Canis lupus familiaris: one gene and its partner. The protein of the gene in region 1 interacts with the protein of each later gene in a biochemical or structural test. Links are inferred from orthologs where the notes say so. Each region holds a gene or a part of one and is shown in the gene's direction. Other genes may lie near its edges.

The links.
Region 2: of the proteins of PSRC1 (region 1) and ASB7, one has a biochemical effect on the other in vitro, tested with the Homo sapiens proteins (2 studies listed by BioGRID, with this or other methods). The link is inferred for Canis lupus familiaris from reciprocal best matches to the Homo sapiens genes PSRC1 and ASB7.

What each region holds. Positions count from the first base shown.
Region 1 is NC_049227.1:42,995,041-43,000,591, forward strand, and holds the start of PSRC1 (proline/serine-rich coiled-coil protein 1), read left to right. Parts: upstream 1-1,993; 5' UTR 1,994-2,297; intron 2,298-2,583; 5' UTR 2,584-2,622; coding exon 2,623-2,641; intron 2,642-2,732; coding exon 2,733-2,790; intron 2,791-3,259; coding exon 3,260-3,704; intron 3,705-4,082; coding exon 4,083-4,197; intron 4,198-4,287; coding exon 4,288-4,536; intron 4,537-4,832; coding exon 4,833-4,926; coding exon of another isoform or gene 4,927-4,930; intron 4,931-5,124; coding exon 5,125-5,128; 3' UTR 5,129-5,551. UniProt on the Homo sapiens protein: Required for normal progression through mitosis. Required for normal congress of chromosomes at the metaphase plate, and for normal rate of chromosomal segregation during anaphase. Plays a role in the regulation of mitotic spindle dynamics.
Region 2 is NC_049224.1:40,738,845-40,743,070, reverse strand, and holds part of ASB7 (ankyrin repeat and SOCS box protein 7), read left to right. Parts: intron 1-2,038; coding exon 2,039-2,178; 3' UTR 2,179-4,226. UniProt on the Homo sapiens protein: Probable substrate-recognition component of a SCF-like ECS (Elongin-Cullin-SOCS-box protein) E3 ubiquitin-protein ligase complex which mediates the ubiquitination and subsequent proteasomal degradation of target proteins.

The sequences.
Region 1 (5,551 bases):
TCATAGTTCATCTTTCCACGTTCCAGAAGGATTGTGCTGGCATCCTTAATTTTGTCATTTATCCATTCAACACTATGGAGTTCCTTCTGAACTAAGCCCTACCATGTGCATGGGAGCAGGTGTAATCTCTTTATTAATTCACGTATTCACTACCCTAGATCTTTTTTTTTTTCTTTGAGATTTTGTTTATTTATTCATGAGAGAGACAGAGAGAGAGTCAGAGGCAGAGGGAGAAGCAGGCTCCATGCCCGGAGCCCAACCAGGGACTTGATCCCGGATCCCAGGATCACGCCCTGCGCTGAAGGCAGATGCCCAACTGCTGAGCCAGCAGGCGTCCCTCACTACCCTAAATCTTAAACATCTCTTCATACATATCATTTTGAGGTTGAGCTGAGAGGGACAAATAATTCCCAGGGTAGAAACCTGAGGCTGAGGCTGAGTAAAGAACTCTTGTGCCTGAAACCTATATTTTCTGCTTCTGTTGTTATTCTGATGGAGGAGCAAGTAGTTCGATTGCTTTTTGTCTTGTACTGCAACAGCTTTCAAAATCATAATTTCGTGACAGGAAACTGAAGAGTTTCCTTAGGAGAAACCAACTTCCAATTTGCTAACACTGCCTGCGACGCTCATCCGAGGTTGGGGAAGCAGCAAGTGCTGGGTTTCCCTGCAAGGCAAGGCAGGAACGCAGGCTCCCAGCGCTTCTCTTCCTCCACGGGACTTTGCCACGACCTGCCCGGAGACAGGGAAGCTACTGGCTCCCGTTCTCCCACCTCCACAGAACCCGAGGCAGCCCCAGGGCCAGCAACTAGGCTTCCACCCGCACCAGCAGGCCTGAAGAAGACCAGGCCACCCTCTTCTCTCAGCTCTTCTTCACACAAGCCTCCCCACCCTTTCCCTCAGCACCGACCAACTCCCAGGCTCCTGCGCTCGCCGCGGCATTTATCCCAGCAACCGCTGACGCCTGCACACCTCAGGGGTCTAGGAAGTGGACCCCCAAAGCCCATAAATAGCCAAAATGATGGTTATCAACCCTGGAGACTAAGCTCGCCAGCCGGTCTTTTAAAAGTTTAGAACAGGGACCCCCGGTGCCTCAACGGTGGAGGTCGGCCTCCGGCTCAGGGCGTGACCCCGGGTCCGGATCGAGTCCCGCATCCGGCCTCCCGCAGGGAGCCTGCTTCTCCCTCGCCTGGGTCTATGCCTCTCTCTGTGTGTCCCTCATGAATAAATAAATAAAATCTTTAAAAACTAAAACAAAAAGATAAATGTTTAGAACTACTTCTAAAAAGCCCTGTCAGCTGGCGGCCCGGCCTATTCCCAGGCAACCCCTGGTAAACAACAAAGAGAAAATCTCGGAGGAGGGTTAAGCACCTCACAAACACAGCTCGCAGTGGGAGGCAGCAAGCTGCAAACACGCTCAAAAGCCCCCGAGGCACGCGGCAGAAAACTCGAGGCGGCAGCTCGAACCCCGAACCCCGAACCGACTGCCGCTCCGCATCCTCGCCCCGCAGAGAAGCCGGGGGTCAAGTACGCTCAAGCCCGCCCGCCTCCTGACATGGAGCCTCGCGGCAATCGGACTCAGACCTCCCCGTCCCGAAAGCCGATTCTCTTCACACCTCGGCTACCTCGGGTTCCGAATGCCCTCGCTTAAAGACGATGGAAGATGTACTGAGAGAACCTCAATACGCTAGAACAGCAATGTCCCGCTGCTTCCGTAACGTGTAAAAATCACAACCGACGAGACCTGGCAAACGCGGCGCTTGCACAAGGAGCAAACCTCCGGAAGCGAATTTCCTCAGGCGCAGCGCCAGTCTTCGGGCAGAAGGCTGAGCCGCGGCCCCACCGCCGGGGAGGGGGCGGGGAAGGGGAGGAGCTCGCCGGGCGCGAGGCCTACATTCATTGGTCAGGTCCGTCGCGCGCCGTCACGAGGCCCCGCCTCCTGGGGGGGGGGGTCTTCCGGGCACGCGCGCGCGCTCGCGGCTTCCCGGCTTCAGCCCTCCGGATGAAGTCTTTCTTAGTACTGCTCTCCGCACGGCCCCCACCTGCAGACTTCCGGCCGGCGGCTTTTCGCCGCCCCGCCCCCGAGGGCGGGATGCTGGTATCCACCAATCACTGGGCGCAGGTGGTCGGAGGGGGTGGAGCCCGAGAGATTCGAAAGGAGCCCCACCCCCTCGGGGCTGTTTCCCGGGGCTAAGCGGTGGGAGGCGGGCGCCTTCTGCAAGAGGTGAGGCGGGGCGGAAAGTGAAGACGGAGGGTGGCCTGGAGGTGTGGTGTGGGTGCGGTGCCGTGGGAGTGGAGAGGTAATTTGGGGAGAGGAAGAAGCGGAGAATGGTGGCGGGGAAGGAGATAGGGCGTGCAGGCCGCCCCCGTTGAGGAGAGGCCAGCTCGTAGCGGGGCGGCTGGGCCGCCTGAGGAGGGAGGGTGGCGCGCTCTCCGCACCTTCCCCGGAGGTCGCAGGGGCAGGTGCTACTCCTGGGAACCCTGCTTTACCCCCAGCGTGATCCTCACCCCTGGTTTGCACCCTGCGTGCAGCTGGGAGCCTCGGGCAGGATGGAGACCTGAAGCAAGGGTGCATTTTCTCTCCAGCTCAGGTCTCAGCTGACTCGCGCTCCTGCCGGCGGGAACATGGAAGATTTGGAGGAAGGTAAGGAAAGGAAGAAGGGAAGAATGAGGCGCTGCGACCGAGAGCCGTGGCAGCGACCGGAGGCTGGCATTCATCCCTTCCTCCCCCACAGATGTGAAGTTTATAGCGGACGAGACCTTGGACTTTGGAGGGCTGTCGCCGTGTGACAGGTACCGTCCTCTAACCTCGTTGCTTTCCTCCAACTATACCTCTTTGTCTCCAACCCCTTACAGCTGAATTACCGGCTTCAGGGGTCTGGGTTGGTGATGTAGCCAGGCTGGGTGCGGTGGGGCTGCTGAGTGACTTGTTGACATGGGCCTCTGTGACAGTGCTGGGGGAAGGGAAACGGATAAGCTGGAATGAGGTTTCAGGATGTTAAGAAGCAGGGTAAGTGGATTTGTTGCATCTTCATCCTGGCATCATTTCCAATGTTGCCAAGTGCTCAAGGCATATTAGGCCCCCTAGAACCGGGTGTCTGTCTCATCACCTAGAGGCCAGATCTCACAGCCAGCATGGGCATCAGGGTTTGGGGCTGTCTCCCTGGCTTTGTAGTGGCGTGGGGAGGTTGCCCAGTCTCCTTTGCACAGTCTCCTGCTCTCATCTGCGTGGGCGTGGTGCCTGGTTTGTTCTCTGTCTCAGTCGTGAGGAGGAGGAGGACGTAGCAGTGTTGGTGACTCCAGAGAAACCCCTCCGAAGAGGACTCTCCAATCGAAGTGACCCAAATGCAGTGGCCCCAGCACCCCCAGGGGTGAGGCTCAGCTTAGGCCCCCTTAGTCCAGAGAAGCTGGAGGAGATTCTCCACGAGGCCAACCGGCTGGCAGCCCAGCTGGAGCAGTGTGCCCTGCAGGAGCAGGACAGCACAGGTGAGAGCCTGGGGCCTCGCAAGGTGAAGCCCAGCCCTCGACGGGAGACCTTTGTGCTGAAAGACAGTCCAGTCCGAGACCTGCTGCCCACTGTGAGTTCTTTGACTCGGAGCACCCCCTCCCCAAGCAGCCTGACACCTCGACTCCGGAGCAGCGATAAGAAGGGGTCAGTCAGGGCTCTTCGGGCAACATCTGGAAAGAGGCCTTCGAGTGTGAAGAGGGTGAGTTTGGAGGGTCTGGGTTGGACATATGCCCTCAGATACAGTGTGTGATTTGGTACAGCCAGAGTGGTTTCCTTGTTGGTAAAATGGAGATAGTAAAATTCTACCTCAGAATTGTTGGAATTAAGCAAAATACCATAAGCAAAGCACTTACTGTATCACAGTGACTGCACATATCTCTATAGTGTTTTTTTTTTTTTTTCTATAGTGTTTATAATAAGCTCGTGATAAATGGTATTGGTGAGGATGATGATGTTGGCAAAAGTCTGCTCTTCCTTACTGGGATCTAGACAACTCTCCACCTCTTATTTCTCCAACAGCCAGCAGAACAGATTCTTTTTCCATTCTAGTCCTATTTTTTCTCTCTTTGTATTTCAGGAGTCACCCACTTGCAATCTGTTCCCTGGATCCAAAACCCCAGCGTCTTCTCCTCTTGCCCGATCCACTCCTCCAATCCGGAGCAAAGCTGGCCCCAGTGGGAGAGCAACAGCAAGTGAGAAGGCTTGGGCAGCAAAGCTGTGGGTGAATGTGAGGGGAAAGGATGTGAAGCTGATGCTAAAATTCCTCTACTCCTCTCCACCAGGTCCGCCTGCGCCTGTCAGGCCAGTCTTGGCCCCACAGCCTCCAACCGGCAACTCTCAGCGCCTCTCTCGGCCACAGGGAGCAGCTGCCAAGCCTTCCAGTCGACTGCCTGTTCCCTCGGCCATCCCCAGGCCTGCCAGCCGAATGCCACTCACCAGCCGGAGTGTACCACCTAGCAAAGGTGCCCTGCCTCCAGCCTCTCTGCCAACTCGGAAAGGACTTCCACGACCAAGCGCTGCAGGGCACAGAGGTGAGGAAGAGTGGACATAACAGTTGGAAATCAGGTGGAAGAATGCTTACCGTTGCCCAACTTGAATGCGCCGTCCCAGAGCTGGGCACAGTAACCACTTTCTCTGTCTGTCTTCATTACAACTCAATTTGAAGATGAGGATACTGAGTTAGAGAGAGGATGTGGGCCCGGGCAGAGTTTGAACCCTGGTTTTCAAATACATTATTTTTTTTTTTTTTTTTACCTTGGGTGGCAAGAAACTCACTCTGAGAAGGTCACTTGAACTCTCTAACTCATTTTTTTTGTCAACCCTCAAGTTCCTGTTACCCAGAGACTGAATCTTCCTGTCTCTGGTGCCACTCGTAGCAATCTGCAGCCTCCCAAGAAAGTTGCAGTCCCAGGACCTACCAGGTAAGACTGGTTGAGATGCTCTCTCTCCCCTGTCATCTGGGCTCCAGAAATGTTATGCGCATGAGCCCTGAGTCTTGTGTGGCAAGATGGGGATGAGGAGGGGAGCCTGGAGGGGTAGGGAGTCCCATTTCTTCCTTCCCTGAGAAACTTGAACTCAGCCGGGACAATTTAAAGCAGCTCTTCCTTCTGACTCTTTAGGTAAAGAGATCAGGACAGCAAGCAAGAATTCAGTAGCAAACCACTACAGTCACTGCCTGGGCTCACCTATACTCAGCCTCGCAAGCCCTTCCGTGGAAGACAGGCCCTGACTCTAGCAGATTCTGGCCCAGAAGCAGGAGGAAGAGATGCCACTAGGGCTGGTGCCCCAGGAATAAAGAGATGGGAGATGGGGTGGATTAGGGTTGAGCTGGAGGGGAATCAAACCCTGTGGGTCCAAAGAGGATTAGGGAAAAGAGGTCACCTCCCAACAGTGAAATAACAAGCAGAAAATGAGAAATGCGGGAGAATAGTCTGTCCTCATCCACCCCCACTCTTGTGTTCAGTCCCAGAGAGTTTGATAATCTTCCCAGGCATTGGTTCACTGGACATTTACATGTGAATGGCCTCTGTAGCTGGCCTCTGTAGC
Region 2 (4,226 bases), on another chromosome or scaffold:
GATGTGGTCTTGCCCTCATGGAACATGTTAGTGAAGAAGGTGAGCATTAATAGATAATCATCAAATAAATGTAAAAGTGCAGTCTTATTAAGTGCTGGAACTCTGGAGTATCTGATGGGGAACCTGACTTTGTCACCCTTAAGGAAGTGCCTTTTAGCAGACATCTGGAAAATGGAGAAGACACATCTTGGCGAGAGACACATGAGTGTGTGTGTATCACAGCCTCATACAGATTGGTGTGCAGATACCCGTAGCTGCACATGCTCCAGGTTTACAGGCATTTCTAGGAAAGCAGTAGCTCCTACAATTCTGTTAAAAGAAAACCATGTGTTAAGTAACTCTTAGAAAGCACATGTTCACACAGGCCTTATAAGAGATTTAAGGAGCCTTTTTCATTTATGAAGAATTACTTAATTTTGAATAATGATGATTACTATAAACAAGGACAGTTCAAGTAAAGGGTGAAGCACTAATTTTGGCAGTGGTTCACCATGTATGGCTTAGGGACTCCTTTCACCTCTCTGAGGTCAAAATGATTTTCATAATACAGAGACATTATCTGCCTTTTTCATGTTCTTCTTTCGTGAGTGTAAGTGGACTTGTCCAGAGACACGATGATTTTATTACAGCAGATTGAATGTAGAAGCATGTATGAGAACTCAGTTGTCATCTGTTAAAACATCCTTTTTAAGAATTTTGCAAAAATGTGAAAGAACATCATTCTTCTTACTATTTTTTAAGATACTGTTGTTTTTATACCAGTGTTATCAATGGCCATGTGTAATGGGCTTATTTTTATTTTTTAAATGAATAAGTATTTCTAAAATTTGCTTTAACTTCTAATATGGTAATTATTGATAGTTATAACCCACAAAATTGGAAATTCTTTTGGGTCTGTGATAAATTTTTAAAATGCAAAGAGGATTTGAGACCAAGAAGTTTGAGATCGCTGAAGTATGGCATTCTACTTGACTTTGAGCATGTTACTTAATCTCTCTGAGACACAAGGAGTCTGTAAAATGGGGACGATGATCAAAGTACTTCCCTCATAAAAGGATGAAACGAGTTAGTGTATGTGGAGAGCTTAAGGATACATGGCACAGAGTAAGCATTCAACATGTCAGCTTTTGCCGTTCGTTAGCATTTAATCTGAAAGGAGAATTTATGTGAGTCCAGATATGACTGAGGCACTGTTGCTTAGAATTCTTGCCTGTGTTTGGGGTCATTTAAGTCGTTTTGGTAAAATACAGTCTTCAAAAGTGAAAAAACTGATTTTTTGTAATTTTTCTTTTGAGTTAAGTTACAGCAGTGGTTTTTATTCGCACATGCTGAGGGATGCGAGATTTGAAGAGACATAGATTCAGAATAGCTTGGGGTGCTTTTTCTACCTCCCCCGCCCCAGTCTCATGCCCAAAGCCAAGAGTCTCCTATGTCCAGAATCATGGCAACCAGGTGGCAGATGTCACTTGGGAAAGTTCCCTGCAGATAATGCTATATGTCTAGGCTCCAGTGTCCTAGACAGTGAGCTGAAAGGAGAGGCCCCATTAGACAGCATCTCATTTGGTCCCCCCACTTTTCAGATGGAGAAACTTTGGCCCAGAGGGATGATTTGCTTACCTAGGTTCACTCAACATATTAGAGGCATCCCAGGATGAAAACCGCCATTCTCTTTTGTAATAAAAAGAATACCAGGCTTTGACTCAGAAGAACTGGTTTTAGTCTCTGTCTAAAAAGCTTTAAATTGGTCACCTGACATTGAGCAATTTGCTCAAATCCCTAATCCTTTGAGTCCTTATTTGTAACATGGAGTTAAAAATATCCATCACCCCAGGGTTGTGAAAAGCATCTGATGAGACCTCACGTGAAGTCTCCCCAAGTCCTCTCAGTGAAAATCTGTCTGGTCCTTTGCATGGGAAGTCCACATGCATGGGAAGCGACATGTCCCGGTGAAGCAAACTGTTCTTTTCAGAACCCAAAAACCTGCCTTAAATACTGTGCTGTGTAGCTTTGTAACAGTTTCTTTTTTCTGTCTTTTTAGGACAGCCCAGAAACTTGCAGGACCTGTGCCGAATTAAAATTCGACAGTGTATAGGCCTTCAAAACCTAAAGCTACTTGATGAACTACCAATTGCCAAGGTCATGAAAGACTACTTAAAACACAAATTTGATGATATCTGATGTACACAGAACTGTGAGCAAGATTAGGAGTTATATTCCAGATACTTAAAAGGCTTTTTGCCTTGCACAAAGTATATCCTATGCAATTTCTGATTTGCTGTGAAGTCAGAAAGCAGGTATACACTTTTAGGTTTTTCGTTTGTTTGTTTGGTTGGTTGGTTTTCATGGTAGGGGAGGGACTTTTTTATATATATAAACACACACACACCACATGCTTGAAGGTCTTAATTTGGTTTCTTGGTCCAGGTTTAAGAGGTCCAAGCTTTCTATACAATATTGAATTTACAAAAATTGTTTTTCCAAAATGACACAAGCAGGGCTGGAGTGGAGAATTTACCCTTTCCAAATTTATGGGTTCATGGGCGTGCACGACATTATAAACCAGCAGAGCACTTGTTAAGGTTTGAAGGCACAGTTTCACCCAGGGGGGTCCTGGGTTCTACTGGAAAATGCCCTAAGAGATTTTTAAAGTAACTCTGTCACCTCATTCATTTTTAATGAGTACAAATTGGCTGTTTCAGACCGTTCCTTTCCTAATTAATGTAGCTCTCGGATGACATAAATCCAGTACCTCTGCTTTCCTGTTGGTGTGCTCTTGTTTTTAACTTATTTTTTTAACAACTGTAGTACACTACCAGAGACATCGGGTCTCAACTTCTGTCTCTCGTTGAATCGTGCTTTTAAAATAATTAATGGGAAAGAAAATAACTTTATAAAGCCAGTGTATTCTGTTTTTAAAACAGTGCCTCCCGTGCAATACTCTTTCTGGTGTATTTTATCCATTATTTCACTCAGTGTTTCTCATTCCACAGCCGGCTTTGACATGCCCATGAGAATAGGAACCGCCACTTTCATTTTACTTGCAGGACCAGAGTATGTCAATTGCAGTTTTCATTGTAAGCTTTGTCTTTTACTTCACTTTAAGCAGAAGATTTCATATCCTGGTGGTAGAGTCGTCCCTAAAAATAGCCCAAAATATTGTTAAACCGTTTGGCTTTACTGGTTAAATAATTTGGGGTGGTTTAAGGTGGTTTTTTTCCCCCCTTTTCTTCCCAGTTTAAATTTTTTTTTTCTAAAGGGTACAATTTCTAATAGGTACACACTTGTAAGTCTGGTTAATTCCTGATATGCTAATTCAACATTTCCTATCTGTTTTAAAGTTATGCACAGTGAAGCTCTTCGGGATGGTTATTTTATTTTCTGGGTTGATTTGGCATATGTTTGCAGTGTAAACACAGTTATGATAAAGTGTCAGAAACAATAAGAAAGGTTCCAGAGACATTGGGGACCTGTGCTGATACCCTTGGAAATGTGTTCTGTGCTTTATCTGTCGTCATCTTAGTTTCAGAAGAACCTTTTCAAATATCCCAGTATTGTTCTTAGTGCTTTGGGCAATTTCAAAATATTTACACACTAGTAATAAATTTGTTATCAGAAGTTTACAAGATAAAGGGCTTCTCTTGTCTGAATTTTTAGTTTTGAGTCACAAGTATAAAACTATTTCACCTGGAAAGTATAAACTAAGAATTAAGAGTCTACTCTGGCTTTACCTTTTTTAAAGAGCCAGCAGTAAATATTTTCTCAAGCACAAAGTCTGTTCTCTTGGATTCAGAGTAGCTTTGGCATTGGTGTATATGATCTGCTTGTGCCTGGGCAGCACACAGGTTCCTGAAGAACATGCAGCTTCAGAAAAAGAATGACTTGGGGGGAATCGCTGATGGGGTACATTGACTGTTTTTGTAGGGAGCCAACAAGAGTGTGGCCAGTTTTGTTACCATTCCAAAACTAACTGAACCCCTGATGGATATGGATAGAAATGGGTGGTCTCCATCTCCAGAAAGTTATCTTCTGAGAGAGATTGCCTTGTGCAGCTGAGCTGTGTTCCCATTCTTTCAACCAGCACCCAAGTCAGAATTGAGACATACCTGCAGTGTCGGGAACATGGCATGGCCAGAAATGAATTGAGTGTTACTTCCCCCTCAAACCCTAGTCCCAGGGAGACAAGGAGCTGGGGAGGGCGCCCGGGACCCTGCACTCTGAGCAGTGAT